Linked DNA regions of Lepisosteus oculatus. The protein of the gene in region 3 purifies or fractionates together with the protein of the main gene of each other region. This does not show direct contact. Links are inferred from orthologs where the notes say so. Each region holds a gene or a part of one and is shown on either strand. Other genes may lie near its edges. The genes, in order: wasb, git2a, nck1a and wipf2b.

Region 1 (7,741 bases), on a different chromosome or scaffold from region 3:
GAGACACGGTTAAGGGTGTAGGATGGGTGGCAACAGATTTGATATCAGTGGAAAATGGCAACAGTTTAAAGAGATTATGCTTGAAGCACACTGATGATTTGCTAGAAATCAGTATCCCAGAAAAATCTATCAATATCAGCAAATCAAGCAGGAAGAGTACAAGGGGAAAAAAAGCATTTTCATTAAATATCCAGTAAAATGTGCTTCCACGACAAGCAGGGAGAAACAGAAACAGAGATGCATGTTCTGCTGTGTTGCAAGAAATGCTCAATGATTAGACATTTTTCCCTGAAATAAGTCAAATCCCAGAATTCCCTCTCCTGCCAGAATGAGAATAAGCCTACTAGGGGAGGAAACTGACTGGAGCTGCAGTCCTGAATGTGATCTCCTTTACAGAGAAACGGAGAGTGGTCCTCTCAAATAATAATATGAGAGGCTCTTCAGAGCTGCTGCGGGAGTAGGGGGGGGAATGAGTGAAGGGTGAGAATTTGTGTCACACCACCAATGGGCCTGAGGACACTGTGCAGCTTTTAAGCTCCTCCCCCTAACAAAACAGGTCCAGCAGCTGGACGTTCCAGTGAGATTCACCCACTTGACCGATGGGCAACAAATGAGCAACAACAAACACGAAAACTGAAAGGAAGGCAGGACTGTTTCACAGAATGTGACCGAGTTCCTAAATACTGCCATTAAAGGTCTAATGGTTTTAAACCTCACCTGCTTCCCCCTTTAGAAATAAAACAAATTAAGCATCATCGCGTCGACTTCCTCATTATCTACCCGTCTGCTAGCAGCTACTTAACATGCGCTTTCTGCAAACTCAGACGGTCTCGGGAGTGATATTTAAATCCAGGACAGAACAAGAGACGCTCAAAGAGGCCTGCAGAAAGTTACTTGTTTCCTAGAACGGTGTTGAAGGCCTCGGGCTTTAAAAGAAGAAAAAACAGGAACTTCTAGGGAGTGTAAATACACATCGGTGTGCTACTACGCCCTGTTTCCTCTGTGTGTGCACCCTGCCCCGCGACGCAGCAGCTGTGGAAATCGCTGCGATGAAACTCCCAGCATCCCGCCGGCCTCCCGTTGTTTCCTCTTGCCTGTGAAACGCGTGGCGCTCGTTTACGGCAGCAACCCCCCGGCCCGCGTGAAACACGGAGCGCAGCCGCGGCTCGGCCCGGCCCGGCCCGGCGCCTCCTCGCGAGCAGTTCCAGCAGGGTCCGGCGCGTTATCTGTGATCCTGGCAGTCCTTCTAACCTGGGTTGTAACCGTTGTGGGGAGCTGAAGGAGTTTGAGAAAGTCCGGGAGCAGGGGAGTCAGCAGACTGTGTAGAACGAAAGACGTGGCTCACGCGTGAGGTGACTTCACGGTAAAATTCCCCCGACGGCTCACTGCTCCTCTAGCCCTACGGCTCAGCCAGCCTCAGGCGGACTTGCGCCGCGCGAGGTCTTTCCCAGTAGAGTGTGACCAAGGCGCAAAGCACTGTGGGATTGCCAGCCCTTGTCCTTTCAGCTCCCACAAGCCCTTTCCTCAGATCTGTGACCGACTTCGATAGCTTTGGGTTATCTTGGCACCCGAGGAAACAGCCACAAAGAGAGAAGAAAAATGCCCGTAACAGGAATTATAGGAAGAGAGATAAGAACAATGCAATATTGATGCAAACCGAGCTCCTTAATTTGGCCACACTACAGCAGAAGACCTGCGGGCCTTCAGACCTGGGGTGCTTTACAGCCACTGCACTGCGGCCCTATAGGAAGGTTAAAAAAAGGCCGAGCCTATAGCTGAATGACTGAGGAAAGCATCTTCATTACAGTGCTGAAGAAAATGATTGGGCCAGTTAAGTCGTTTGGAGCTGAGCCATGCTGAAACCTGCAGATGAGCTAGAAACAGGAAGAGCCATGTAGCCCATCCAGCCTGATTGGTCGTTAGTAATAGATTAATTGATCCCAGGATCTCGTCCTGCTCTGTTTGGAAAGAAACCAGGGTATCGGCTACAACAACATGACAGGGCGATTTGTTCAACACTCCCACAACTCTTTGTATAAAGAACTACCCACCTGTTCTTGATTTTAAAAGCAATTCCACATAGTACTTGCAGCACCTGACCAGCTGACCCCTGCTCTACTGGTAGTGTTCTCAGAGACCCAGGTGATACCTATCAGACCGGCCCTGAGACCTCAGCCTCTTTCCTGTGAGACAGGTTCGTTCCTCTGGGAACAGGTCAATCACAACATGGAGGAGCGCTATCGGAGCTGGCTGGGTGCTGGCACTGCGGGGGCACTGTACCAGGCGTGATGGGAGTGTGCGTGCCAGTTACAAAGCAAAGGGCTTGTCTGCGTTACCTGGGGGCAGCAGAAGGCGCTTCAGACAGGGCACCTGGGAGCCAGCCAGTCCTGACCTGTGTCTACAGTCCCCCTGTGTCTCCACAAGGCTGGAGCATCGCCCCAGCGCAGCTGCTCTGACTTCCCTCCTCGAGAAAGCGACGCGGCCGGACTGGGGCTCAAACAGAGCTGAGCAGAACCACGGGGCCCGGTCCCGCGGGGCACCGCTCCTCAGACCTTCCCCAGCCCTGGCGAGCAGCGGCCCGCCCGTCGCACCCGGCCCCACCTGTCGAGCACCCTCGCACCTGTCGGGTCCAGACAGCCAGGGTGCCACTCATCCGGAGCGGAGCTGAGCGCTGGCGGGGCCCGGGAGACTACCTCCTGCAGCCCTCACGCAGGGCTGCCCAACGTACCTCCGCACAGCTGCCCCCAGGCCCTGGGGCGACCGCCCCGCCGCCCCGCTGCCCCGCCGGGGCCCCAGCACACAGACCCGGCTCTACTCACCACACACTTCCTGCCCAGCACGTCAAACACTCGCTCGTTCTCCTGGGGGCTGAGCAGGGAGCTGCCGCAGCTCTCCTGCGTCTTGGAAGGCTTGGCGCCGCGGCTCATGGTGTCCACCCCCGCTGCTCCCTGAAGAAAACACGGGGGGCCGCCCCCCAAAGCAGAAACCCCAAAAATCCTAGGCCCGCAATCGCCTCCCCTGCTCCCAGAAGCACAGAAGAAGGTGCACGCGCCACAGCCGAGAGCTTCGGAGTGCTTCCGCCTCGCCTTCTGAGCAGAGCTGCGCAGGAGCCAGAGAACAGGAAGCTGGTGACCACACTTCTGCACCCAACTGCTGATCACAGTTTAAAAGCAGCTCTGCTACTTCTTCTTTTTTTCTGCGGCGTGAAGGGGGGGGATGTGTCTTTCGTGTCTTTCTGGCCAGGGAAAGGGGAGATTTGCATGCTCTCCGTTTCTTTCCTGGGATTCCCTGCAGCTCACGAGGGCACGGCGGGCCGCACGGGCTGCGCCAGGCTTCACCGAAACACGCGGGCGGGATTCTCTCTGCTGGCGGCCCGGGTGCTTTTTGGTGGAATTTCAGGAGCAGCTGGCTCAGGGAAAGATGTGCCTCGAGTTAGGTATTGTTAACGTGACAGGGGAGACCCCTCTCTGCTTTTCCTTTCAGTCTGAGGGAACAGCAAGGGCATTCTGAAACAACGTGCCTTTCTGGGGCTCAGAATGACGAGCTGTGGGCCATCGGGCCGAGTCGGGGAGAGGGAGGGAGTTCGCTTTCCCTGCACGATTCCTGCAATCGCGAGTCTCCCACTCCGCCGCAGGCAGTGATGTGCTGTGAGAAACCAGCGACGTCTGTCACCTCCCCCGTCCCCGCAGAGCCAGCCGCCACGGCGGCACAAGACTGGTCACAAACTGGAGGAGGCCGTGTGGCCACCTGGCCCACGTCGCTGAAGGAAGGCCAGCAGCTGGTCTGCAGTAAGAGAAACGCTTGGTTTTGAAAGTAACATGAACCAGAGTTTCTTTGGCAGCAGTCCAGAAAATGAAGTTTTTAAAAAACTTCAGAACAACCTCTAAAACTTGTCTGGTGACAGTTTTATATCCTGGCTAATTTTTTTTTTTAGAGTTGAAGACCTGACAGCAATCATTTTGACACAAGTGACAAGCTTGTGGAAAACCACGCATTGCATGATCTTTCACACTTACGCAATTCTGGGGAAACTCAAAAATACACTGAAAAACACAGAAAATCTGTCTGAGTTATATGTTTGAGCAACATAATTTATATTTATGACAACAATGATGATAATTGTTATCATGATCATTATTGTTGTTGTTGTTATTTCACAGTTGACGTTGCAAAATTGGACACAGATATGAACTATTCCCATTATAACTGTGCTGGGAAAAAAAAACAGTTTTCAATGCTCAGCAGCTCAGGAATAAAATAACCACACAGAAACAAGCTGGACCACTCGGAGTGACACCTTTATTAAGATCAGAACGCACCTCTGTGCTGTCGGACAAGACATCAGTACGATACACACTTCCTGTGAACATGAGCCAAACACTGCACGTCACTGCACCGTTCGCCCCTGTCTCCTGTGTCTACTGTAGCTGCCATCAATAACGATAACCGATTAACTGCTGAGGAAATGATGTGTAACTGTTCACAGACCGATTAAATTAAACTCACAGAGGAGAAAACGCATGCGCTGAAATGATCTCTTGGCGAACTTCATTTTTTTTTACAGCAGCCTGTTGTTTTGTGTCGCCCCCTGCTGGAACTACGTGTGTGGAGGTTTGCGCCCTCTAACAGGAGGACTCGGTAAAAAAAACAGTTCCTAAAAATACAGTTTGAGTGGTGTAGAAGGCATCGCAACGGAGTGATACAATTGTTCGAATAAAAGCAGTCGAAACACTGTAGTAGTCGGTCTCGGCAACATGAAGGTGAAGTTGGAAACCGGACCGCAGGGAGTCGAGACTTCCGGACAGCGAGCGATGGGCGTGGCCAGGTCTCTGCGCTCAGAAGGCTGGGCGGACTCGGAACACACGTGGGTCTCGACCACTTGAGCCAATTACTTGATTGAGTTCAGCCAGGAATGGCCAGCTCTGGGCGTTGGGCTATGGAGGTCTTGGCTGTTTTGTATTTCAAATGGTCTCTGCGCTGTTTAATTGCCTGAATCCTCTGCATACGTAGTGTACGAAAGTTTAGGAATTGATTATTTTAGGGTGAACCCTAACACCCGAGGAACTATGGCTCTCTGGGACTGGGGGGTGGGTGGGCAGTACTGCCCAGTGCCTCCATGCATATCAGTTAAAATACGATGGGCAGACCTCTCGCAGTGTCACCGCTCAGGGACACCAGCAGGGGTCACTGCTGTGCTCAGAACTGGGGACATATTGTCTCTTACTTAAACCCACAAACCCTCAAGCAACTGTCTGCGGTCACACTGGTGGTGTCTGGACTATAGCCCTCCAAACAAGCCACTGTACTGTCTGAGCCACTGGGAAGCTCCATTGTCCTAACAGCAATAACATAAAAAAATGACCTTTAAGATGACGACTCTCCACATGCAGCTGAAATGCTCGTACATGTCATTTTGTCTCATCGAGAAGTGTTGTCTGTTTTCAGAAACTGATGCAGGAAGTCTCACTTGGGCAGAAAATGCGCCAAGAAAGGAGTTGGGAGATTTATGGAGATTAATGAGCTGTTTCATAGAACTGTGCTAAAAGAACAGGCTCTTGAATTCTCAGACAAGGACAGGATCTCTGACAGGAGTGTAAAGTGTGCTTCAGCTAGGTGGAACTGTTCACGTAAATACATATCTCTGTTTCTGTCTGTGTTTCCTTGTAACAGGAAGCAGCTGTCTGATCGCTGGTCGAGTGTCACAGTTAGAGGCTCCTTGAGCTCACCGCTGTGCAGCTCGCTGTGCTCGGCCATCCCAGGCTCAGACAGAGAGAACCTCTCTACTCTGCACCAAGCACACGTGCCGCCTGGAGAATACGGCTGATCTGTTTTCAAGGTCACGTAGGAAAATAACTTAACTCTGTGTCGCCATTTTAATAAACAGCTTAGTTAAATAAGTAACAGCTGAATTAAGACTCTTGACCATAGTGTGAGGGGAGGAACACCGTCCAGAGATATGATTCGCTCACCGACAAGTCTGGCAATCAAGCACAAGAACGACATCGGCTAGGATGCTCGTGCACTTGTTCTGTTATTAATTCCTGAACCACAGACCTCTCTTGGGGTTTTGCAGGAGTTTATAACACCGTTCTCTGTTTTAGAAAGCGCCACCCACCTGAACTGTGGGGAGGAGGTGTGTGCCCCTCCTCCAGAACACAAGGGGGCAGCAGAGAGCCTTGCCTGGCGTGAAGGAGGGGGGGAAATGGACACTGAGATGGGCAGGGTGGGGGCAGGTGGCGGGTGGTCCAGCCCTTTTCAGTTTTTTTCCCAGCGAGTTGAAGGACTTGGGGCTGAGCTGGTGGGGGCAGGGGAGGTGGGGGGGGGGGCAGGTGGGGTCTCTGACGTCGCTGTGTTTCCCAGGCGCCGTCGAGGGGTGCTAGTGCCCACCGTGGCTGTTGCTCTCCCCCCGCACCCAGTCCACAAAGATGAAGGACAGACTCATCACCATGAAGATGAAGCCCAGCGCGGCGAAGCAGGCTGCCTGCGGCGACACAGAGGGAAGAGGGGCCTGAGGGTCAGGGCGCACAGGCGCTGCAGCAGCCCCGAACGCGTTCAGCGATTTTTACACTTCTAACATGTCTCTGCAGCAGGCTTCCGGTTTCACTTTCAAGCAGCGAGCATTTCCCCTTCAGCGGAACAGAAACACACATTCGCAACTGGTGTTTCTCACCGCGGTCTGTGCAGCGGCAGCTTCTGTGGGCTCGACAGTGAAAGAGCTGCTTCAGGCTGCAGCTTTTTCCTCAAAGGCCCTTGAGAAGCCTCACGTACAGTATGGAAAAAAAACGCAATGAGGTCTGGCCTTTTGCACAACGACACAAGCAATATACAGGAAATGCAGTTATTATTAATCAGCACTAGTCGAGCCCCTAACCCCTGTGTGTCTCGTGCAGATTTTTGTGCTGCAAAAAGTGTTTCATGGCACCTGGTTTGTCACCTAAGAGCACCCACTGTCTCATACTGGGGCAAAATTCAGGAGACCAGTCAGCTGCTTAGCCCTGCAGAAACACGGGCACAGTCTCAGAAGCATCATCCGTATGGCCAGCCACGTCTTTCCTCCCAGCGGTGTGATACCATCCTGCCCAGCCAGCAAGTCTGAACAGCTTATATAACACCAAGCCACAAGGACACATAGGTGTGAGATTTCACCTCCAGTCAGAGGAAGGGAAATCCCTTCCAGCTATTCACGGCATGGTAAAACCCCTGTCTTTGTCCAGCAGGTCCGTGGTGGAGAGCCAGAGATGCGCTCCAGCGCCTGGGGCAGCGCGTGACTGACGCTACACGGAGCCACTGGAGAAGCGGCACTGACTGGGACAGGGACTCGTCGGGACGTGGGGAGCCCGGCGAAGTGGGGAGCCCGAGATACAGAAGTGGCTCAGCACCATTTAGAGGGGGGGGCGCCCTCCCCCCTGGTGCTGCTGATGGCAGAATCCTCCAGGCGATGAGCACCTGTCAGTCCCGAGATGGGGGAGGGGGGCACAGTGAGAACAATTCTAGATTGTGGAGGAGACAGCTGGTATCGATATGAGCATACTGCCATTGCCTAGTGCAAGGCTGCAGCTTACTGTCCACTAGAGGCCAGCCATCATAAACAGGTACGAGCATGAAAGCTGGTGGGATAGCAGCAGTTTGTGATCACAGGAAAACGCCCATGTGAAGCTGCTCCACACCGGGTCTCTCTCGGAGACCCGGGTCTTTTCCTCCCCCACAGACTCCAGCACGGCTCCCTACCTGGATCTTGGGT
Region 2 (7,715 bases), on a different chromosome or scaffold from region 3:
AAAACTGAAGATTGTTACTACTACAAAATTACCATTTTTAACTAAGTTGCTAACATGAGGTATTCACTTTAAATATGTGCAAAGCTTTCCTATATTCACATTCTCATCAGTCTACGGGTATTCAAAGAGAAAATTAGCTCATAGATAATAAATACTTATCGCAGATTAAAGTTCAACAGGAAGTATACAGCATCCATCAATTTTCAGTGACTGCTTTGCCCTCATACGCTCCCAGCGAGATAACCAGCATAAGGCAGCACGAACAGGGAGAAAAGGACTATACCCTAGACAGCACACAAGTCCATCGCAGGGTACACACATACTGTACACCCAGACGTCAGTTTGTCTTGGGTCTGTGAGAGTAAACCAGAGCACCTGCTGAAAACCCAATGGGCCAGTGAAGAGTGTGCAAACTCTACACAGGTAGCACTCCAGGTTCTGTAGGAATACAGAACCCAGGAGCTGACAACACCACTGTGATGCATCTTTCTTTCTCAACAAGCCTAACAGAAATACAAAGAGAGCCCTAAATATACCCAAAGGCAATGTTGGCGCTTTAGCAATGTGATTAACTTACTCCAGCTCGTAAACTCCCACTTCATTTCCATGTAGAAATCAGGAGACTAAAAATAAAAATACACATTAGTTGGTCACAGAGTGTTCAGGATATCATAGTTTTAAACATATAGGTCCTACAGGGGTCTACACATTTTCTGAAAGCATTACCTAAACAATACTGTCATTACAAAATATTCCAAGAATAGACGTTCCTTCTTCGTTTGTTCCTGATTTATCAGGTCTTCATTATAAAGCCCACAGGTAGTACAGAAAAGATATTAAAACTGCTGATATATGGAAAAACCCTGTAACAGCAGAGAAGTGATTTTTAGCAGCTGTGAAAAATGTACAGCTGCTTTCAGACAGTACCTTATTCCCAATAACATTCTGAAAAACACTAAAAATGTCCCCTTTCATAACAGTGCTAAACTACGTCTAATTAGTAGATTTCCCTGCATGAAACTCGGCTGCATCTTGGGAAGAGTTAATGGATAGGTACCACAGGACAGGGAAACAGCATATATATGAGGAAGCACTGAGGTTTTTTTAAGCTGTGGTTCACTGCTGATGAAGTGACGGGCAGTGTGAGTGTCGCACCTCGTGGATCTTGCACAGAAGCTCTGGGACTCCTGCCAGGGCAGTGGAGGCCTTGAGGTAGTCTCTCCTCTGCAGGACCAGCTGCACCATCTCTGGGTCCCCGGTGCTCACTGCCTCCTGCAGCACTGCCAGTACGGCACAGCCATGCACAGACACAAGAGGAGCACCGCAGACTGTAAGTGCTGAGCTCATTTACAAACCTTCAGTTACATCATTATAATACCCTAACGCTAATGTAGCTCTTTTCTAGACACTCTGCTCAAAATGCTTTACAGGTAATGCGGACTCCCCCCCACTAATGTGCAGCCCCCACCTGGATGATGCAACAGGCAGCCATAGTGTGCCAGAACGCTCACCGCATGTCAGCTGTCAGTGGGGAGGAGAGCAGAGTGATGGCTTCATCAAGTTCAGAAATGGGGATTATTACGCCATGATTGGTAAAGGCCAGGGGGAAATTTGGCCAGGACACCAGGTTTACGCTGGGATTTTTAATGACCACGAGGAATCAGGATCTCAATTTCACGTCTCCTCTGAAGGACGGCGCCTTTTTTGTAATAAAGTGTCCCGCACGCTATACTGTGGCATTAGGACACACTCAGATTGCAGGGTGAACACACCCTACAGGTCCCACTAACACCTCTTCCAGCAGCAACCTTAGTTTTTCCCAGGAGGTCTCCCATCCGGGTACTGACCAGGCTCACACCTGCTGAGCTCCAGTGGGCCGCCCGCTGTGAGTTGCAGGGGGATAAACCTGCTGGCAATAATTCAATGAATTCAGTCAATTCGCACCTTAAAACGCCCAGATGACAATCCCCCTGCAGAGGTCCATCCTCTGCAGGGGGATTGTGTAGACTATTTATTTTCTAGCCGCTTCTTCCTTTTCAGGGTTGTGGGGGAGCTGGAGCCCATGCTGGCCAGCAACGGGCACAAGGCCGGGTACACCAGTCCATTGCAGCACCCACACAGACACAGACACATTCATGCCAGGGCCAGTTCTCCCAGAAGCCAATCAACCCGCCAGCTTGTCTTTGAGCACCCAGTGAACACCCATGTGAACATGGAAAGAGCATGCAAACTCCACACAGACAGCACCCCAGGTCTGAGTTGAGGCCATGGCTCCAGAGCAGTGAGGTAGCAATGCTTAACCAGACCCTCAAACAAAAGCCCTCGTGCTTAATTTCAGCTCAATTGCACGCTATGTGCAAACCCAGAGATATTTTGTGATGCATGTTTGTTTGCGGAAAATGTCAGTGTATTAATTATTGTTGTAGCTGTTATAGCTGCTCTTTTAATTTAGCAATTGGAAAGCCTAGTTTGGTCTGCATCTCACTTGGATCTATTAATTACAGCAAGTGTCTGCCAATATGTGGGGGCTGATTCTAATAGCAAGCGTAACGCGTCAGCAATTCCTTTCAGACCAACTGATGCAAATGACTACTTATTTATTGCTGGTATTTCCTGTACCACATTGCAAGCATGAAAAAAGAAAACTATGATTGAAGAGGAGAGTGTGCAATTTATTTGAAGATCAAATATCAGGAGTGTCCCATTATGTTTATGGGTTTCCAATCCACAATCAATCACATGGTATAAGTTCACACCAGCTCCACCCCCTGTTAAAACCTAGAGATGTTCCGGCGCTCTAAGAATAACTCGGGGGTTCTCTCACCTGTCCAGCCCTTAGCGTTCTCTTTGGTTACTTCGGCACAATGCCTCAGGAGCACTCTTACTGACTCCAGATGCCCCAAAGACACTGCGAGATGCAAGGGTGTACGGCCACGAGGGTCAGGCTCCTCGATATTGTGCTACAAAAAAATAAAAAGTCAATTACTTCTATAAACTTACTAACAAAAAAGCCCCCCCCCCTTGCTCCTCTGAGCACACAATCTCACAATAAATATTCTAACCCAGTGTTGCGAGATAGGAGGCACTGCAGAGGAGGAAATATCCTTCCACAACGTTTCTGTAAAACCGCAAGATTTAGACACAGGCATTGTTTTGTAAAAAAAAACACATTTATACATCACTTATAATTAATGCATGAATATTATTCAGTGAAATAAACCTGACAGATCAGACCTATTCGTTTCACTTTCAGACGAAAACTTAATACTACAACTACTAACCCTGCCAAACTAGAGGAATCATTGTAGAAAATAACAATTGAACTTAATTTTTCACAACAGCCCGTATACACTACAGTTCCACCAAACGGCCAAACTGTGTGTGGGAATATTACAGATTCAAAACTTAGATCACTGCGTATCTCTCGGCTTCAATTAATAGAAAAGTCGTCAAGCAATGTTACATCCATCAAGCCAAGATGATCTCGTCTTGGACACAGATGGACTCTTCTCTCAGAAACAACAGCGCAGTACACATCAGGCGCACATTTTGGTCAAGGCTGCTGCTAAAACCCACAGTGTTCAAATGACGAGGAAATCGATTATTATTTTTTTGCAAGGCTAAAACTAAGTACAAAGGTACTGCAATTGAAGTCGCAAAAGTAAGCGTGCTGAGTTAGTAGCGAGGAAAGGCGATCATCTCACCCAAGTCAGTGCACACTCGCGGTCATTAAAATAAACACGCCACAGCTCTATGTACGTACCTTCGTGATCTCTTTTTCCAATTTTCTATAGTCATTTTCCCAGACTAAAGAATGGAGTGGAAACTTAACCCTGAAGTCTTCGGTGGCGGACATTCCGTAAAGCTGAGTTTTCGCAGAACTGGCATGAAACAATACGCTGATGTCCTATCCCGAGGAAACGTGAGAGAAGACAAAGGCCGTCTCCGCTAGCCAAGGGTGGACGCGTGCATTAAATCACAAAAATACAACTTATACGACGCTAACTTTTCAAAATAAAACTTTTGAAAAACAAGGAAGTGACTGGTAAGGACTATTATGATCTACGTAGGGGTGTCCGCAATAACACAAGTTCGTGTTCAATACAATTCTTAGAAGGTATTTCACTATAACATTGTTAGTTTGTTGTTTTTGGAAGCCATTCTAAAAATCATTTTACTTTTTTTATTCAGAAGATAAAAACGCATATGTGTATAAAATGATTAGTTCCAAAACAAAGGCACTACCATTTTTTACTCAGGGGGAGTTATCACTCAAAGAATTAACAGGTGCCTAAAATATCACATTGAATTGTTACAATTAATTCAACACTAACCTAATACATTTCACAATGTTGCATTTATTTAATGCTTTGAAATATTTGTTTCAGATTTTAACACTCAAAAGATTGTCACATCCTATACACTACGCAACTTACCTAACTGGGAGTGCGGTGTCAGGAGGCGCTTACGTATTTGGAATTGGAGAATACGATTTTATTTACGTTCGTGACCCAGAACTCTGACAGGCGGAGGTGTTTCTTAATAATGTCCTGCCTGACGAAGTCAAGAGCCGTAACTTACGTAGAGTCTTATCTCCGCCATTGCCGGAACGCTAGGAATATTCCGTAGTTTCCGCGCTTGAATGCGAACGGCCTCGGCTACTGTGCGCGTTCACGTTGGTGTAGAGTTTCCGTCCTTAGAATAGCAGCAGCTTCCCGTCTCTGTTGTGTTAAATAAAAGGGAGGCGGAAAAAAGACGAATTATTTTGTGCCCGTCAGGATTTTCTTCTTAGTGTACGTAATAGTGAGGTCGCAGCGGAAACCGCGGATCAGATGAATATAGGAGAATAACTAAAACGTTTAACTGACCTTTAAAAAGGGCCTTTTATTTGGAAAATAAGGATGTCAAAGCGGCTTCGGAACAGCGAGGTCTGTGCCGATTGTAGCGTTCCGGGTAAGTGACAAAAACACCAACAGAGTTGACTTAACAGTCATCATTGTTTCACTAAGAGAGGCAATTTCTGCAGTCATCATGTTAATTGCCTCTTACCCCCTTAGCAAGATATTGCACCCTTTAGTGGTTCGTGTAAAAGTGGCGTTAACCTTCAGGTAGCATCTGTTGAATTGCGAGGTACAGCGCTGGCTTTGTAATTTTTCTAAGAGGTTTTGCAAAACCTGTTGTAATTATGCATACATATAAATGGGATCTGGAAATCGGAAACTGTTGGGTGACTTAAAAAGGGCCGTTCTTTCTGGACGCAGGGATGTAAATGTGTTTTTCCGGTTTGATTTTGTATTACTGCTACTCGTAGGCGATTTGATTTTTGCAGCTGTTAGAATTGCACAGAAAACGTCGTTGTGAAGTCAGAAGGGCTCAGTGCTGTGGGCCGTTTTTGTTCTGATGAACTAATCTCTGGGCTGGAAGCTGGTCTATAGATATGTCAAAGTAGCTATCAAATCAGACTCATATTTGACGAGTGTTGTTGAGCTAATCTTTTGGGTCGGTGAAGTGGCAGGAAAACACAAACTCCATTTACTTGCATTCAAATAAAGAACGTTTCCAAGTATCACTACAAACCGTTAAATACAAATGCTTTGGGGAGGATATCGTTTTCAGAAGCTTGACTAAAGACTAGGTCTTTGGTTACAAATTATGTCTGTGTGTTTATGTGGTGAGAGACAATGACTGACATTTACACCACTGTGAAAATGTTTTGTGCTGTGTTGTTTTGTGTAAAATCCGTGAAGTTGATTCATTGCGCATTGTTACAGTAAGTCATAAAGTGCCTGGAATATGACGTGATTACATTTATGGCCACAAAGTTAAATTCATAGCACAACTGAATTTATTGTGTATCACTACAGATGTTTTTTGAATCTCTACTTTTGGCTGGATGGCAGCTGTGATTGGAAAGTAAAGTAGGCATACAGTAGAGTAGGCAGATTGATGGTGACAACAGGTTGGAATCTGCCCTGTAATTAGTCAGATAGATGCTGAGCTGAAAGGCCGCTGTCCTCTGAGTAACCTCCTACTTGATTTAAGAGAGACTGACAGTACTTTTAAAAGCAGCAAAATGATAAGAATGCTGAAGCAATAATCAGGTTTCATATGTAACATTTGCAGGACTTTGGGAAGATACTGATATTCCTGAAAACAGCTCTGAACCCTTCTCCTTTATCATCAGTCCAATTGAATTCCACCTTATAGGTGTTTTGTTGAAATACCCAGGAAGACAGAATAACAGAAATGTCTTGATAAAAGTAGGCTTTCATTTTTCGTGACCACAGCATTTAAATAGACAACAGACATTAACTTTAGTAATAACCCTGATTCTCACTGGAAATTAAACTAGGATTTCTTAGGTGTAGCCAAAACCAGATTTTTGCTATCTTTTTGACAGTGTACATGACCTAACTTATTATATTCACCCATTGAAACAAAATGTTCTGATCTTGCATGTTTTTGTTTTCAGCCTAACAGAATCGGCCTGTTTGCACACAGCCGTAGACAGACCGACATTTTAAAAAAAAAGTATAAATGGATGCCTTTTGTTTTCTTAGCATGCTGGAAATTTTGAAGAATCTTGAGACCATTCGAAACCAAACTCCCTAAACTGCAGATACTGTAGCAATGCAGAAGTTGTTAGTGAGTGTAGTGTAGGCAGATTTCCCTAAGGCACAGGCTACTTCCCTTTTCTGAATGTTATGGTATAATGTATTAAAAAAACACATTGGAATAAACGCTTGTTGGTAGTATGATTCATAACACACTGCTTCCTTCCAGCTGGTATTAACATGTAGAAGGTCCTGTTGTCTAGTAAATAGTACAGGAAGAACAGGATGCCAAGTAAATGAGCAAGGATCGTGCAGGAGTTGGCTTTTTAATGAATTGGCTTTTATTTTAAAAAAAGTAGTTGCTGCCTAGCTTTCTTGCAAAATCAACAGAAAAATCAGGTGTGATATACAGTAACCGTAAACACAAAGTGGAATTATTCATCTCTTACATCACAGAGGATCTTTCCAGCTATGTGTTGTGGAAATTGTTCTCTGTTTTTAGAGAATAATAAATTTCATGCAGCATGAAATTGTGCATATTTTTCTTTATCTGGAAATGGCCTGGAATTAATTCTATTTAAGCACATCTAACATCAGTACTACAGTACTTTATTTCAATAAGAATCCCTGAGCAGTTGGGGTTAAGGGCCTTGCTCAGGGGCCCAACGGAGTAGGATTCCTCTGCCGGCCGCGGGATTTGAACCGGCAACCTTCCGGCCACAGGCACAGATCCTTAGCCACAGTGCTACCCCTTCGCCCCCATACTGTATGTTCTCTTGTGCAAAGTATCTGATTCCAGGTAGAAGGTAAAATGCTAAATCAAAAGAAATATGAGGACAGAATCTTTTTTAAAAAATGACCAGGTCAGATTCACAAAGTGACTAATTAGGCCTGCTAGCATCTAAATGAGCTCAATTTGCTAAATGGCCTCCTCTCCTGTGTAACCTTTCTTACGTTCTTAAATGTGTGAAAGAGTTTCATGAACCGTATGATCGAGAGCATGGCTGTAGTAAAATGGGAAATGTGTGTTCACATTTTATAGTTTATGGAAACTAATGAAATATTTGCTTGCTTTATTTCAGTGGGCCGACATGTTGTGAATTCGTTGTCACAATGACTAATCATCTTTAAAGGTGTTCCTTTTCTTCATTTTAATTGAAA
Region 3 (7,837 bases):
AATGTCTTATTTTATTGTGAAAGGTTTCTGAATTTGAGTACCCATCGACCACACTACTACTGCAGGTATGCACTGAGATTTTGCCCTGATGGCTTCAGTCAGTCAAGATACAGAGACATGTACTGAACCAACAATGCTGCAAAGAACTAACATCCCATCCAGATAGTCTTGTACTCTCTATTTGAATAACGCTACAGAAACTAGAAACTTCAGCTACAGTATATGCATGACTCAGCATGATGAAGGATTAAGCCTAACTTACTAAACTCTTATTCATTGAAGAATTCTATGAAACATAAGTAAAAGAACAGAAAATTAAATACACAAAGACAAACACAAAGCCTAGTTCATGTAGTCATTTTTTAAAAATCAAAACGCACTAAAAGATGATAACTGTATACAACTATGGTTTGATACATTCACTTAGAATATATCCCAGTTTACTAGAAGGTGATGTTTACCAACAAGAGACATCAAAAGGTTGAAGCCAAAAACCAGCGTAATCAGTTTGCTGAATAAATCAAATGATCAAATGCTAGCTGCTGAAAATCACAAATTTTCTCAAAATGATTTATAAAATACTTTTCAAGTATTGGTGATATATCACCACCGTAAGCCTTATTAAGCAAAGGGGATAGCGATTTGCAAATCATTTAGATCTCATGGAGATGAGCCTGCTTATTAAGAGCCAAGCTTGGCCATTCGGAGCCGTGCAATGCTGTAAGTCAGAATGTTTCGATGGAAACTTCATGAGAATTCAAGAGACATGAACTTAAAATAAACATGTTGCTCAGCTCACCAAACACTATGATGTGCAGATAGAAAAGTGATCTCTGCTGCAGGCAATGAAACAAAAAATGTGAAAGAATCAATCATATTGTTTCTTTTACATTGGGAGCATTATGCTTTTTCGAGTATTGTAAAATGTTATAGCTTAATTCCTGAACAGTTTTTAAACTGTTTATTTGTTACCACATAAAGACATTCCTACTGTTCCTGCTATACACCAGTGTGTTTCACACTATCTGAAGCCGAATACTAAAGCCAAATACTTCTGGCTTCTACTGTTGCGTTATTCAGCAGAAGACATATGAAGGCATAAACTGCAATATTTTTTCCACTGTAGCGATTAGAAGCAGAAACAGTGACCACATTTTTTTATTACAGATTCTCCACAGCCTTTAAGCATTTAACATTATTAATTAAGGTTAATCACTAGCGTGTTAACGTTAGCCAGCATGTATTCTCATTATTAAAACAAAAATAAACTCCTTCATCTTCTGGCATCCGATTGTCAAGCAACGATCTCATGACGTGTGCATTCTGTGGAGGAAATCACTCCCATTCTGACACCCATTCAAATGAAAAAAACCCATACCATAATCTTTGGCAACATCTATAACCGGAAATCCAGACCAATGATAAAGCACTGAACATGACACAGATTGGATTTATACATTATCAAGAAAGAAATATATAAGCAAGTCGCTGTATTATCAGATCATTCTGTCATTACTGTAATACTGGACTGTTTCCTTACCATTAGCTGTTTCCCTAGCATACAGTCCATCTTGTTTTGAACAAAACAAAGGTTTTGCTCGCAGTGATTTTCAAAGGCTCAACATCATGGGACTGGCCTCAGATGGATTTCGGTACTTTAGACTAAATGTCAACCAACATTAGGTTTCTAAAGATAACAATCTGGAGTTCACAGTTAACTCACATATTTCAGGCAGGTCCAGCACAGCAGGTCCAAATGTTAAATGACACAGCGTTTTAATCGTGAAAGAGCTATAACACTATACATGGGAGATGTTATTCCTTCCTCAGATTCCCACATTTTGTTGTTTACAGCAGATGTCGGACTGGGGGATGTTTGATGGCCTTGCTAGGTTTTTGGTTTGTTTTATAAACAGTAGAGGTTAATAGCAGGAAGGGCAAAAGCCATAGAAACACAGCAGATATCCCTGCCATTCTCATGCAATTGCAGTGAAACAGTCTTTAGTATAAAGAGACTTTTTCAAAACACTTTGAATCTGTGTAGGCAGCTCGACAAACGATTTCAAACAAACCAAGCAGATAAAAGCATTCCCATTAAGATTATACGGTATACAGTAAGGTCACCGATATTCTCTCTTAGAAAAATTGTGCATAATTCGTTAAGACCTTTTCTATTTCTACTGAATCAGTAGCAAAACGTAGAATGCAAAGCAGCCAAAATCCTTTTTTTTTCTTTCCTTCAACCTCCGACTTTCCGAACTAACTTAGGACAAAGCCACGAACCAGGATCGAGGGGGGTGGGGGGGAAACTCAATTGGTAATCTGCCCGGCAGAATGTGCTTTGCTTTGTTCGAAACTGCTTTTTTTTTTCAAAACCAACATTTTCGGCTTTATTACTTTTGAACAGCAGTTTTTTTTCCAATTAAGCCTTGTGCATAAAAGGTACCACAATGATACCTATTTATCCCCATTCTACAGAGCCGCGTCCGTAATTCGCTGGAGACGTGGAGAGCAGTAACGAGGTTTGCAGGACTGTTATTTTCCCCGAAAGCAAACAGGACTAAAACGTCACCTCTCGTCGTCGTGGATAACACAGTCAAAGCACCCATCGTCTTGTGAAAAGAAAATTCGTTTAAGTCCAAAAAGAAACAAAAAGGAGTTGTAATCCAACAAAACCATTAGTTCAATTTTGAGAAATGTATTGTTGATTGTTCCATTTTCAAATAAATCAGCGCATTATAACTTCACCAACTTGTTAATTCCTTAACATCTGCACATGAAATACACATTTCACACGGGAAATCGTATCTCTCTTAAGACCGACAAAAAATAGCAAAAAGCAATTTTGTATCTCCTGTATTTTCTGGTTTTAATACAATATAAAGTTACACAAGTTTCCATCTGTAGCAGATAGCGTTCTACAACACAAGACGTTGACATCTAAATCAAAACAAAGATTTTTATTAAAAAAAAATTACTCATTTCAACTTCCTACCTGAGCCCGGGGGATCAGAGCCAGTTCCCGAATTTCAAATACCAAAAGACACAAATTCTCAATAAAACGCGTAAGCGTACACAAACACGTCTGACCAATATCAATACTCCTCTTGCACCAGTACGTCTCGGCACTCTTACTCCACACAACAGTCAATGTTCTCTGCAATCTAACTTGTTTCCAGAGGCCTTCCCGTGCTGCCTTCGATTGGCTGTTTTGGCTGACGTCCTCTTTTCATTGGACAAGCGCCCCGTCTGTCATGTGCGCCCAGCTTGTGCAGGGAGGCTGCAGAATAAGGTAGGTACTGTAGCAAGTTCTACTGTCTGCAAGCAACAGCCTAGACATGGAGAAGCCGCTGTAGATCCCGTGTTACTGCGGGATCCCCGCTGGAGAGGGTGAACGTTGTATCGGCAAATAATGTTGCGATACAGCTCTGCACTGGGAAAAAAAAAACGATTTTGAGTCCGACACATTGATCATGATTTAGTGAATACGGGGCTGTAACTTTTTTCCCCCCGAAACTTGTCACGTCATTGTCTGACTGCACTCTTTTTTTTTATGTGTTAACCCCTTTGCTTTTAGTAGGGATGCCACCACCGATGACCAGGCGGAGAAATTTAAAAAAAAGTATTGATTTCAAAAGAGCACTTTTAGTGATGACAAGAGGTCCTTCGCAAAACATAACCTTGAGAGACACAAAGGTTTAGAATGTATTCCTCAAGTATCGAGATCCATGCTATATTTGGAGTAGTACTGTGTTTTATGGGAAAGTACATACTGTTTAATCATTTGGCAGAGCAATATGGGAAAATCAGACAGTTTGGGTAGGACAGTTATTAGCGAAATACATGTTTTGACATCAATTTCGCTTCGGGATAAATAAAGTCTTATCTATGTTTTATAAACACATGGTCCACCGTGATCCTGTATTTCACTAAGCTTTTTTTAACATAAATGGGTGTATACAGTATGTACTGTATTAGTATTGAGATCTGTGCAATGTTAATAATTCGATAACTCGTACAGATTAGCAGGTTTGTCGTTTTACTGGTGAAATTCAAGTAGATAACAATTCGCTCTGTACCTGTAGTTGTCCTAATTTGTTATGTAATTAATATAACGATAGCAACGGGGGTCGCTCTCACTGCCGTCTTTCTATAAGAAAGGGACGCGTCTGCTGTGTGTTTTATTCTACAGGCACTGAAGATGAACGACGTAAAACACTGCATTTTAAGATCCAGTGCTCACTGTATCAATAGTGACTATTCACTTGATTGATGCCACATTGCTTAATCCTCTGTTTTCAATGAATTCTGTGTGATGACCTAATTCTGTTTTAGGCTTAGCAAGCAGCTCATAGAGTCTGCCAACAATGACATTTAATAATGCAGAGAAAAATTAAAAAAAATACAAGAACGCGACACAATTATCTTAAGGACATTTGCTAACAGATACCATGGGATATATTTAATTCAAAAACAGATGTCTTCAGAAGAGGCTGACTGGTAATATTCAGTCATAATGGCCTTGATTACTGGCTAGTTTGTACACTTAGCAGACTGAAATCTCAAACTATCTACTGTTGGATCATATTGCAATGTATTATAGTGGGTGGTTTTCCATTGCTTAAGACAGTATTAACTGCCAGTTAGATTTTGTTTGGTTGTTCTTATTTTTCTTCAAATGTAAAGGGTGGGCTTGAAGTTAATTCTGTGAAGCTCCCACCCTTACCCACAGTACTATTAATGACTCCCAGTACATTGTACAGCCTATATGAAGCATTCCTAAGTAAGTAGCAAAGCTGAAAACCTGATGGATTCTGCACAATGATAACTTATCAAAGCTTGTTCAGGAGATTTGTCAGGATTTTGTGGTTACTATAATAGGAGAAAACAGACAATGAACTTGAAAGCGAATTTCTAAAAAACGATTTCATCCTTCGATCATTACAATATAAAATCAGAACCCGTTAGTCCCACAGATATCATGTTTCAAGTCTGTTCTGTGCTACACCAAACCAACATGAATTTAACTGCAGGAGATAGATGATGGTAGAATATTGTAAAAACATATTGCAAAGACCTTTCAGATGCCTTTACTGAGTCAGTGTTATTAGAAAGCCGATTCAAATACTTTAGAGTGCTCAGCAGAAGGTTGTTACTGTTTTACTGAAACCTTAATCATAAGGTCTTGCTGTTTGGGTTGATGTTCAGAATGTTTTTTTGTTTATTTTGGTAACAGAAGCAAAATGGAAAAGCACTTATACAGAGATAAACATTTAATTTCTACATAAAAAACAAATAAGGTTTATTTTAAAAACAAGGCTTAGTTTATTTATTCTGATGCTGCATTTAACTGGGAAAGGAAATTACCATACCATACGATAACATCTATGGATTGTGTCCTGTTCCTTAGAATGTTGTCTAATGATAATAATGTATTTCATATTGCAAAACGTCTTTGGTGTCTAATCTAGTACCACTAATGAGTAGAAAAAAACTTTGATTGCTTTATAATTGCCATTTTCAAGAAGCGTGGTGACATTTAATGGTCCCTAATGTGACACAATGTTTTTCACCACCAGCCCACTAAAATGGACGCTTTTACATCAAGTGGGATACAAGAAATGTCTCATTTCCAGTCATATCTAATTTGTTTTGTTAAACTTTTTCTTTTTCTATGAGCAATATATCAAAATGTAACATGACATGGAATGCAAAAGCTGAATCAGTATCAATGTAGGGATAACCAGCTGTTTGTTTTGATACTGTTAGTGTCAGGTTTGGGAAATACAACTTGTTTCTAAAAACCTGCTGCTCATTTCAAAACACAGAAACTGTTTTTTGTCTGTTGTAAGTCATTGCTTCAAAAAAAGAGATGAATTGTTGTTCAGGTTTTTCTTTCTTAAGTGTTTGATTCCTGAAATATATTTTCCTATAAAACATGGTGTGGAGATTACTGTCAACCATTTATACAATGAAACATTTTATTTAAGTTTGTATATCTCTTTATCTCTTTAATATGAAGCAACTTTCAGGCTCATGATGTTTTTTAAAGCAAGAATGTCACCCAAAATGTCTACATAGGACCAAAATAAAGCAAATAACTCAACTAACAACAAATCGTAGTTAAAGCACACATACTTCTTTGTCGGTAATCTTAAATACTAAAAGGAAGAGAGTGTTATGTCCACTTTCAGCTTGTCTTCAATCATTTTTATTGACCCCATTTCACTTACTGGCTGTCATTGGGTGTAATACAAAATACAGTATATCCCAAAACGTCAAACTAGGAATACAATATTGTGAATGTTATGTCTGAGTACTTCTTAATGCTGCACAAATATCCCATATACAAAATACAAAATCTAAGGTCTTTGGTCTTTTTGTAAAAAAGTAGAACTACCCAAGTTTGAAATAATATGTGACGCCTTAATTACTTTGGATTTCACTTACTTTCACTGGACTCCACTGATATTCTCCAATAATGTGATGTGAATTGTGATCTGAAATGAATCTCAAAGTTGTGAAGGCAATGAGGTGAGTTTTGGAATATGGGCTGAATTAGGGTTAAGGGCTAGGGTTCGGAGAACCATAAGGCTGTCAGTAAAACTGTGTCTCCAGTGCTGAAATTAGGAAAGTATGATATACAGATAGAGGTTAGCTTTAAAGTTTGGTATGTGCCCATTTTGAGTTACTGGCACTCACTGGATGCAATACTAAATCTTTCCCAAAAATTCAAAAATTATAGGCAGAATCAAAATGCTACTTATTCTGTACAGTATATATAGTAAATAATGAAAGTTAAAGTACAAATACTACTTCAATGACAGTCTAACAGTATATAGTAGTCTAACTATAAAAATGTAAAACTAGCCCTGTAACAAATAATATTTGAAGCCTTACCCACATTGGACTTCAATATTGTTCTTACTTACTCCAGTGATATTCTCCCGAAAACTAAAAGTCAATTTCAGCAAAACACAAACTAAATTCTTCATGGTTATATGGCATTTTCTGTCTTGGATGTGAATTTTGGTTTCAAATTAAAGAGAGAGAAGCAGACATTGAGGTGAATTTTGGGGTTTGAGTTGAATTAGGGTTATGAAAACGATAAACCTCTGACTAATACTAGTCTTACAGTTTCTCAACTATTAAATTAGAAGAGGAAGATATTCACATTGAGGTTAGCTTTAAGTGTTGGTATGTGCCCATTTTGGGATACTGTCTCTCATTGGAATTTATACTAAATTGTTAGGAAAGTTTGGAAATGTAAATATTAATTTCACAATGTTGGAAAGCAGAACTATTTAAAGAGACTTCTAATAAGGATATACAGTATTTTATATCAGAAGATAATACAACTGCTCGTTTTAATTTACAGTGTTATTTTGAGATTCCCTTTTTGTAAATACTAGTAGGGACTATTTCTAGTAAACTGAAATAACACTGTAAACCAAAACAAGATTAAATATAAACATACAGTAGGCTCCAGCTCCCTTGTGACACTGAATTAGAAAGAGCGGTTAGGAACTGGTAGATGGATATTATTTATTTGTTAAATGTATTATTTATATACATGTTTCAAAATATACATGTTTTCCATGGCTGAGGTATAGTGATGCTGCATATCATTTGTGAAGTTTAATTGAGTTTAATTTAACTCATGAAATAGAATAGCCTTCATGTTGTGATTCTTGTAATTGAAAGCATGTTTAATGTCACTACACCTCTATGTTCAATTCTATGTAAAGTTACCAAAATCTGTCTGGGATCAAAATGTATCTATCTTTCTGTGGCTGTGGTATTTGCCATTCCACTGGGAAATAAATGTCATGTAAGT
Region 4 (7,677 bases), on a different chromosome or scaffold from region 3:
GTTGCACTTGAGACATAAAACAGGTGTTCGCAGACAGATCCCGTTTCCATAGACCCTGGCCCCACGGAACCAGCGCAGGCTGGGCCGAAGTGTCGCTCAGCATCCTGAGGCAAGGACCCCTACCGTCAAGTCACTACATTTTCAGCACAACCGCCAAGGACAGAGGGGATGTGTATTTTTGTGTATTGTGTACACACAAATCATGCCAAACTTTTTTTTACCGACAGTCCAGTTGATCCCAATGGAGAGCAAAGGCAGCACCAAGGCAGGAATGGCCGCAGAGAGCCCTGCGGGGAAGAGGGTACCTTTGGCCTTGTTGTGCCTGCAGAGATAACCAAAACCTAAATAAAACCGGGCATCTACGATTCCACTCTCCGCTGCCTGGCACAACATGACACAGCTGCCTCGATCTGTTCTCGCTCAGAGCCGGCCGTCACCGGTGCACAGGAGATTAGAGACTCACCAGGCCGGCACGTCGCAGGACAGCAGTGCGGCTCAGGGAAGGGCAATTTTCCTGGCACCAGTCGAGACGTATTCTGGGAGCGTCACAGAACATCTCTGCGTAGGGCGACCACGACACCCCGCCAATCCTCACCCTGCTCCCCACACTGACAGACTTTCAACTGTGACACACTTGTACGAAATCTGGAGGCCTCAGTGCGGTGCGACAAAGGCGTTTCGCATGCCTCTCAGTGAATGGCAGCTCGTCCCTCCATCCCATCCAACTGGGGGAGAAGCTGCCAGTGATGCGTTTCCCCAGCCACCAGAAGGTAAGAAGCAGACTATGACGCCACTGTGACAGTCACGGAACCACAGATTACAGATTCATTCTGCAGTCCCGAATGCTGAAACCAACATTTTTCTTCCGAGAATTAAAACGCGGTTTCAGTTCTGCATCTCGTCACAGGGGAAACTGATCGTCAGCAGGAAAAAGCGCTTAAGCTCCCAAAGTCGGCCCTCTGCCCTTCTTCACCGGCACCAAAACACGAGCCCGCAGTCTCGGGAGGGAGCAGGAGGCTCTTTACGCAGAGGGTGGTGGGAGCGGGAAACGTGCTGATTGTTAGTGTTGTTGAAGCCGATACACTGGCTTCTCTCCAGACACAGCTGGGTGAAATCCTCCAGTCAGCACAGGGGGCTCTACTGTACACCCAGAGGGGGGCGGATCAAGCTGCCCAGCTGTTCTTGGACCGGTTCTCATCCAGCTGTTGCTCAAAAGACCCTGGGACTCAACGAACTGCAGGCCGCCAAACACTTCAGAGGTCCAGAATGACCTCTCTCCGACTTTCAGCCTTTCCACAGGTCTTCCTCATGATTAAGCGCGTTCCTCGTTTGTCACACACCGCAATGAAAGATCCCAAACTCCCCCAGCAAACGGGCTATTAACCAGATCGAATCTTCCAGGTAAAAAAAAACAACAAACTGATCCCGTCTCAGTGCCCTAGTGGTCGTGGGGAGATATGGTCACCCTGTCTGTTCACCTGCGAGGAGCCATCTGTGCTCAGTGTGCCTCAGTCCACCTACGCAAGCCTCTCCCCAAGTCCCTTACCCTGATGACAGCGAACACACCTGTCTGCGCTGTGCTCCTCGGCACATTCATTTGGACAGTATCTCCCTCCTGCTGGGCAGTGCGCTCTGATGAGTGTGACTCAACCGGACTGCCCCCGGCCACCCGCGATCACGAAGTAACAAAACCTGTCACCTTGTTCACTTACCCATCACCCCTCCACCTCTAGCGCAGGACCCCCAAACCCCCTACTCGGAGTTCATAGTCGCGGAGGCAAATTAAAATGAGAGCTTTTTAGCAAAAGCACTTTGGCGTGTTACTGAACCACGGAAATAACTGCGGGGACAGAAACCCACGGCGAAGCCAACACGGAGTGGAGGTGACACGGGGGTCCCCACCACCCACGATCAGCGAAAAGGGGGGCTGGTTGCTCACACCTGAGCGAGAATTAAAATAGGTAAAAAGGAAATATGTTACCGCGACTCAGCCTGCAGTCACGCACCGGGATGTTGCACAAGCAGGAATGCGAGCAGCTGTAGTCACAAAAACAGCGACCCGACACCCGGGGAACCGGCCGAACCGGAGCCGGGCCGAACCGACCCCGCTTTCTCACGTCTCCTTTGGGGGAAAAAAAAACACCCACGCCGCCACACCTGCCGTGGCCGGTATCGATCACCCTGTTACTCACAATCAGCTCTTATTGATCATCAGAGGGAGCGGGGCTGGCTGGGCTCTGGCAGTGGCCCAGAGAACAAGGAAACAACAGAAAACAGGTACAGGAACAAGTAACAGGTTTATTCCACGCTGATAAAAGAAGAAAGAAAACACAACGTTTCGGCCGTGGAGCCTTCTTCGGGTGGGAATAAACCTAGGACTTGCTCCTCTGCAGCCTACGCATGCTGACGCAGCTGCCCACCTGAGCTGCTTCAAGAACAGGTATAACCGACACGGCGACCCGCCCCCCGTGTGTCTCGCACACGCGTGGGTAGGAGATTCACGCACCTCCGTGCCTGCCCCCCTCCCAGTCCGGCGGCGGCTGCCCGCCTCCCTTACCTCTCCTGCGGCTTCGGCGGCGGAGTCTCTCCCGTCCGCTGTCCGCAAGCACACCGACAGGGGGGGGCGCCGGGCGGCCCGCAGACCCGCAGGCTAACACAGGGGCATTGTGCCCCGGGGCTGGGGGGGAAGATTTCACCTGCTCCCCCGCGCTGGAGGCCCGGTGAGGTTGGGGAGCCGCACTCGGCCTGAGAGTCTGGACCGCGGGCTGGCTGAGCCGAGCTGAGCCTGCGGAGCCGCTGGTCACCGCGGCCTCAGTGACTCGCCGTCGGTCCCCGGTTTCCCTGCCCCCTCGCTCGGTTCACAACGGGCCCTGTTTTCTTCCTCTGCTCCGTTCCTGCGTTTCGCGGCCCCGTCGGTCTCCTCTCCCGCACACTGTGTCGCTCCTCCGGTGGAAAACCCGGAAATGGAATCTCCTGCATAACAAAATGGAGGAAGGGAGCCGATTTCAAATAAATATGTGGAGGTGGAGGGGGGGGGACCGAACCGTCCCGGCGAGAGCCGAAGGTTGACGAGAGTCGCCGAACGCCGGGCGCGGCCGAGAGCGCCTGCGCGGGGCGGTGATGACGACAAAAACACGAGCCCATAAGGGGAGGGGGTGCAGCCATGTTGGTGAGGTCACAACACACGCGTTTACGATAACGACAGCGGTTTCTTTTATTTTGCATTATTTTGTCACTCGAAGGTTTTGTTTCATCCTGGTTTTATTCATGTAATGGTTACAAATATAACATTCATTTCTGTACAGTTGCTGTTTTGAAGCATAATGTGTTTCCAGTCCAGGAGGAAATCTTGAAATACGGCCGAATGTGTGTTTGGCTCGCTGTTCCTTCATGCTGGCACTGGGAGCACAGGAACTGAGCGAGACAGGCAGACAGGGCAGGCTATGTCTGGGCTGTGGTCACTCATCAGTGTCTGTTTCTGCTTGTTGTCTCTGACACTGGTCAGACACTTGGCCAGTGTGTTCTGTTATTTTTGAAGCCAGCAGAGGTCCAGTTTTTCCCAGTAGGTGAGGTTGTGATCTTTGGTTTATATCACCCCAGTGTCCCCCACTGGACACTGTCAGGCTCTGTGCCGCACTCTGTCGCCTTCATAGTCTCATTCTCTCCCTCTTGCATCTCCTTCTCTGTTTTACTTATTCCTCCTGTTATAATAATAATTGCTTACACTTATATCGCACTTTTCTGGACACTCCACTCAAAGCACTTTACAGGTAATGGGGATCCCCTCCATCACCACCAATGTGCAGCCCCACCTGGATGATGCGACGGCAGCCATAGTGCGCCAGAACGCTCCCCACACACCAGCTCTCAGTGGGGAGGAGAGCAGAGTGATGAAGCCAGTTCAGAGATGGGGATTATTAGGAGGCCATGATTGGTAAGGGCCAATGGGAAATTTGGCCAGGACGCCGGGGTTACACCCCTACTCTTTTCAAGAAACACCCTGGAATTTTTAATGACCACAGAGAGTCAGGACCTCGGTTTTACATCTCACCCGAAGGACGGTGCCTGTTTACAGTATAGAGTCCCCGTCACTATTCTGGGGCATTAGGACCCACACAGACTGCGGGGTGAGCGCCCCCTGCTGGCCCCACTAACACCGCTTCCAGCAGCAACCTTAGTTTTTCCCAGGTCTCCCATCCAGGTACTGACCAGGCTCATACTTAGCTTCAGTGGGCTGCCAGTTGTGAGTTGCAGGGTGATACGGCTGCATATCCTGTTCCTCTCTCCTCCCTCATTCCTTCCATTTTCCTTTTCTTCCCTGCCCCACCCCGTGCAAATTCAAACAGCTTTATTGGCACGACCGGTAAATTTACAGGGTTGCCTCAGCAGACACAGTCAATAATTCAGTTCAATTCAAGGTACTTTATTGGCATGACTGATGAGTACACTCAGTGTTGCCAAAGCAAAACAAATAAAATTAACAAAAACCAAAACCTACAGACATTTACAATAAAGCCACAATCATAAGATATTTACATATAAACATATGGAGCATTATCGGGAGACAGGCTCACTGTTCCTCAGGCTGGGACAGGAGATCACATACTGGGCTGCCAGTTCAACGGAGGTGTGGGAATTCTGGGATAAGATGTGTCAATTTGGGGAAGAATGTTTCTCTACTCCTAGAGTATCTGTCACAGTGCAGTAGGAAGTGCACCTCTGTCTATATTTCTCCCCGCTGGCAGTGGGAGCACAGCCTGTCCTCTCTGGGCAGCCAGGTCTGGTCCTTATATGGCCAGGCTGTGGTCACTGAATCTGTACTCCGTCAGGGTGTGTTTCTGTTTGCTTTTATTTATCTTGGTTAAATGTTTGGCTAGTGTGTATTGTCTATTTAGGGTTCTGTAGAATTCCAGTTTGTGTTGTGTTTGTGTCCCAGTGTGTGAGATATAAGATAACTTTATTGACCATATACAATTTCTTGCATTAGGAATTTGTCTTTTCGCAGACCCCAGCTTGCTCTCCATGAGACACACAGACAGGGAGAGAAGCTGGGGGTCAGAGCACAGGGTCAGCCATTTATACAGCACCCCTGGAGCAGTTGGGGTTAAGGGCCTTGCTCAGGGGCCCAACAGAGTAGGATTCCTCTGCCGGCTGCGGGATACGAACCAGCAACCTTCGAGCTACAGGTGCAGATCCTGAGCCACAGAGCCACCCACTGCCTACTGTTTGATCTGTGCTGTGAAGTGGTTGGGTCTGAGTTGTGGTGCTCTAGCAGTGCTATATCTCTCTTCCTATTTCCCTCCTGCTCTCTTTCTCCTTCCCTGACTCCCCCTGTCCTTCACTCTGACTGGGCTGTGGTCCGCCTTGCATTTCAGCTGTCTGTGTGAATTTCCATACCATGCAAAACCAGCTGAAAGGGCAGCTCTTTGTTCCGTGGTGCTGTTCTGTTTACTCAACTAACAAGCCTGCTGGAGACTCTCCAGCCTCATTGTCAGCTGAGTCCCACCTGGAGATCTCAGAAGGCTAAGCAAGGCTGGGCCTGGTCTCTCTTTGGATTGGAGACTTCTAAGGTAATCTGAAGTCGCTGCTGTGAGAGATGTTTTGGGACCAGTGGGTTTCTGTCTTGGGGTGAAGTGGGTCCCCTCCTGTGTGTTAAGCAATTTCGGATCCTTTGGGACAAAAAGCTTTCTGATTTGAGTAACCAGGTTTGTAAAGGTGAGAGATTGTGAATCCATGCAAACCCGTGCAGTGGTGATTGGTAAGACTCTTCTACAGATCTATGCAGTTATGTGCCAAAGTATAACGAGCATAGACAGAGCTTTGTCTTCCTTTCTGTGCACAGAAGATAAGACATCACAATGCCACAGATTGTTTATTTTACACATCACACTGGGAATAAAAAATGAATGGTTACCTCAGTCCCATGCAAATTCACAACCCTCACATTACTTTAGATCTTATTCATGCTAGATGATATTTGCATTCAGCCATCAGAGCCTGCTACTGTAGCCTCAGTCTGTCTCTGACTGTGCTGCAGGTGTCGCCTCAGTCTGTCCCTGACTGTGCTGCTGCTGTAGCCTCAGTCTGTCCCTGACTGTGCTGCTGCTGTAGCCTCAGTCTGTCCCTGACAGTGCTGCAGGTGTCGCCTCAGTCTGTCCCTGACTGTGCTGCAGGTGTCGCCTCAGTCTGTCCCTGACTGTGCTGCAGGTGTCGCCTCAGTCTGTCTCTGACTGTGCTGCTGCTGTAGCCTCAGTCTGTCTCTGACTGTGCTGCAGGTGTCGCCTCAGTCTGTCTCTGACTGTGCTGCTGGTGTCGCCTCAGTCTGTCCCTGACTGTGCTGCTGGTGTCGCCTCAGTCTGTCCCTGACTGTGCTGCTGGTGTCGCCTCAGTCTGTCCCTGACTGTGCTGCTGGTGTCACCTCAGTCTGTCCCTGACTGTGCTGCTGGTGTAGCCTCAGTCTGTCCCTGACTGTGCTGCAGGTGTCGCCTCAGTCTGTCCCTGACTGTGAAGCTGGTGTAGCCTCAGTCTCATCCCTGACACAGACCTACTCAGCGCAAGACCAGACAGCCTCAACCTGTAGTGGCTTCTGTCTCACACTGCTTTGAAAATCACTGTAATAAAAAGCACCCTAGCAGCTGTCAGAGAGTTTAGGAATTAAATGGGAACCAGAAAAAGGCCAGAAGCCAATCTTTGTGATGCGCCACACGCAGTTTATTCAGAGCGAAGTGTCAGACACTCAAGACCGTCAGGTTTTTGGTCATCATCGTTTTATACATGAAGACAATCTGCCAGCTTCTCCATGTTTACCTGTGTTTTACACCACTGAGCTTAAAGGGAAGATTGTAAACACTGACTTCTTTACAAAAAAAGGAGAAAAAGTTTTTTGTATGATATACAGTCTTCAATTTCTACACCTTGCTTTTACGATATTAATGTACAAACCATTAGCATTTCTGACTTTATCAAAAGCCACATGTACAAAAAAAATCTCTTTTATATACCATCTCTGCTCATACATAAAATAAAGATTCCATCTCTGTTGCTATGTACATATTTACAGTTGCTATGATACAAAGCACGCGGTAGCCAGAGGGGTTGCACCAGGAAGTGTGTGTGCACAGATCATCACAGGACGAATACGAGGCTTCCCGATTTAGGACCCCTGATGGCTACCGCATTAGCTGTCCATTGTAAGTGCCTGATTCAAATTAGGAAAAGGTAGCTGGGATCTGGGATCTTTGCATCTCTCTGGAGAAGAATACTCCGCCACCCTACGTCACCCTGGCCAGCACTGACAGTGCAGTGTTGGAGCAGATGCCCCTCTCAGCACTGCAGTGCCTGTGCAGCAGAGGGCGACAGTCAGCCAGCTCGGTTCAGCGTTTGGGCTGCCGGGGTGGGCTCAGCCTGCACAGCACAGTACCGGGAGCTGTAGTCGCAGGAGATACTGGCCCTGCAACTTCTGTGCTCCAGGAGGATAATTCAATTAGATCTGTGCCTAGCTTGCACAGCAGTAGGAGACTGACAGTTCAGTTCCATGGCTCTGTCACTGTCGGGAATCTATTCGTTATTTACATCGTCACCCCCATCCCCAATCTGTGATTAGAGCTGCTCTGACCGTCTTCCCCAGTGTCAATGAACAGGGTAGGAGCCTGACCTCTGACCTCTGACCTATACAGA

Evidence for each region.
Region 1: the proteins of nck1a (region 3) and wasb purify together in Homo sapiens (affinity purification with western blotting; 4 studies listed by BioGRID and IntAct, with this or other methods). This does not show direct contact. The link is inferred for Lepisosteus oculatus from reciprocal best matches to the Homo sapiens genes NCK1 and WAS.
Region 2: the proteins of nck1a (region 3) and git2a purify together in Homo sapiens (co-immunoprecipitation; 3 studies listed by BioGRID and IntAct, with this or other methods). This does not show direct contact. The link is inferred for Lepisosteus oculatus from reciprocal best matches to the Homo sapiens genes NCK1 and GIT2.
Region 4: the proteins of nck1a (region 3) and wipf2b purify together in Homo sapiens (co-immunoprecipitation; 3 studies listed by BioGRID and IntAct, with this or other methods). This does not show direct contact. The link is inferred for Lepisosteus oculatus from reciprocal best matches to the Homo sapiens genes NCK1 and WIPF2.

The regions. Positions count from the first base shown.
Region 1 is NC_090697.1:77,233,904-77,241,644, reverse strand, and holds the start of wasb (WASP actin nucleation promoting factor b), read right to left. Parts: upstream 3,123-7,741; 5' UTR 2,928-3,122; coding exon 2,820-2,927; intron 1-2,819. Other genes in the region: slc38a5b (sodium-coupled neutral amino acid transporter 5b), read right to left, coding at 6,377-6,481, 7,729-7,741. UniProt on the Homo sapiens protein: Effector protein for Rho-type GTPases that regulates actin filament reorganization via its interaction with the Arp2/3 complex. Important for efficient actin polymerization. Possible regulator of lymphocyte and platelet function.
Region 2 is NC_090717.1:5,720,641-5,728,355, forward strand, and holds the start of git2a (ARF GTPase-activating protein GIT2a), read left to right. Parts: upstream 1-4,653; 5' UTR 4,654-4,901; coding exon 4,902-4,953; intron 4,954-7,715. Other genes in the region: ankrd13a (ankyrin repeat domain-containing protein 13A), read right to left, coding at 578-623, 1,156-1,280, 2,825-2,960, 3,764-3,856. UniProt on the Homo sapiens protein: GTPase-activating protein for ADP ribosylation factor family members, including ARF1.
Region 3 is NC_090708.1:14,745,023-14,752,859, reverse strand, and holds the start of nck1a (SH2/SH3 adapter protein NCK1), read right to left. Parts: upstream 3,152-7,837; 5' UTR 2,996-3,151; intron 1-2,995. UniProt on the Homo sapiens protein: Adapter protein which associates with tyrosine-phosphorylated growth factor receptors, such as KDR and PDGFRB, or their cellular substrates. Maintains low levels of EIF2S1 phosphorylation by promoting its dephosphorylation by PP1.
Region 4 is NC_090723.1:9,664,301-9,671,977, reverse strand, and holds the start of wipf2b (WAS/WASL-interacting protein family member 2b), read right to left. Parts: upstream 3,111-7,677; 5' UTR 2,558-3,110; intron 2,539-2,557; exon of another isoform or gene 2,193-2,538; intron 1-2,192. UniProt on the Homo sapiens protein: Plays an active role in the formation of cell surface protrusions downstream of activated PDGFB receptors. Plays an important role in actin-microspike formation through cooperation with WASL.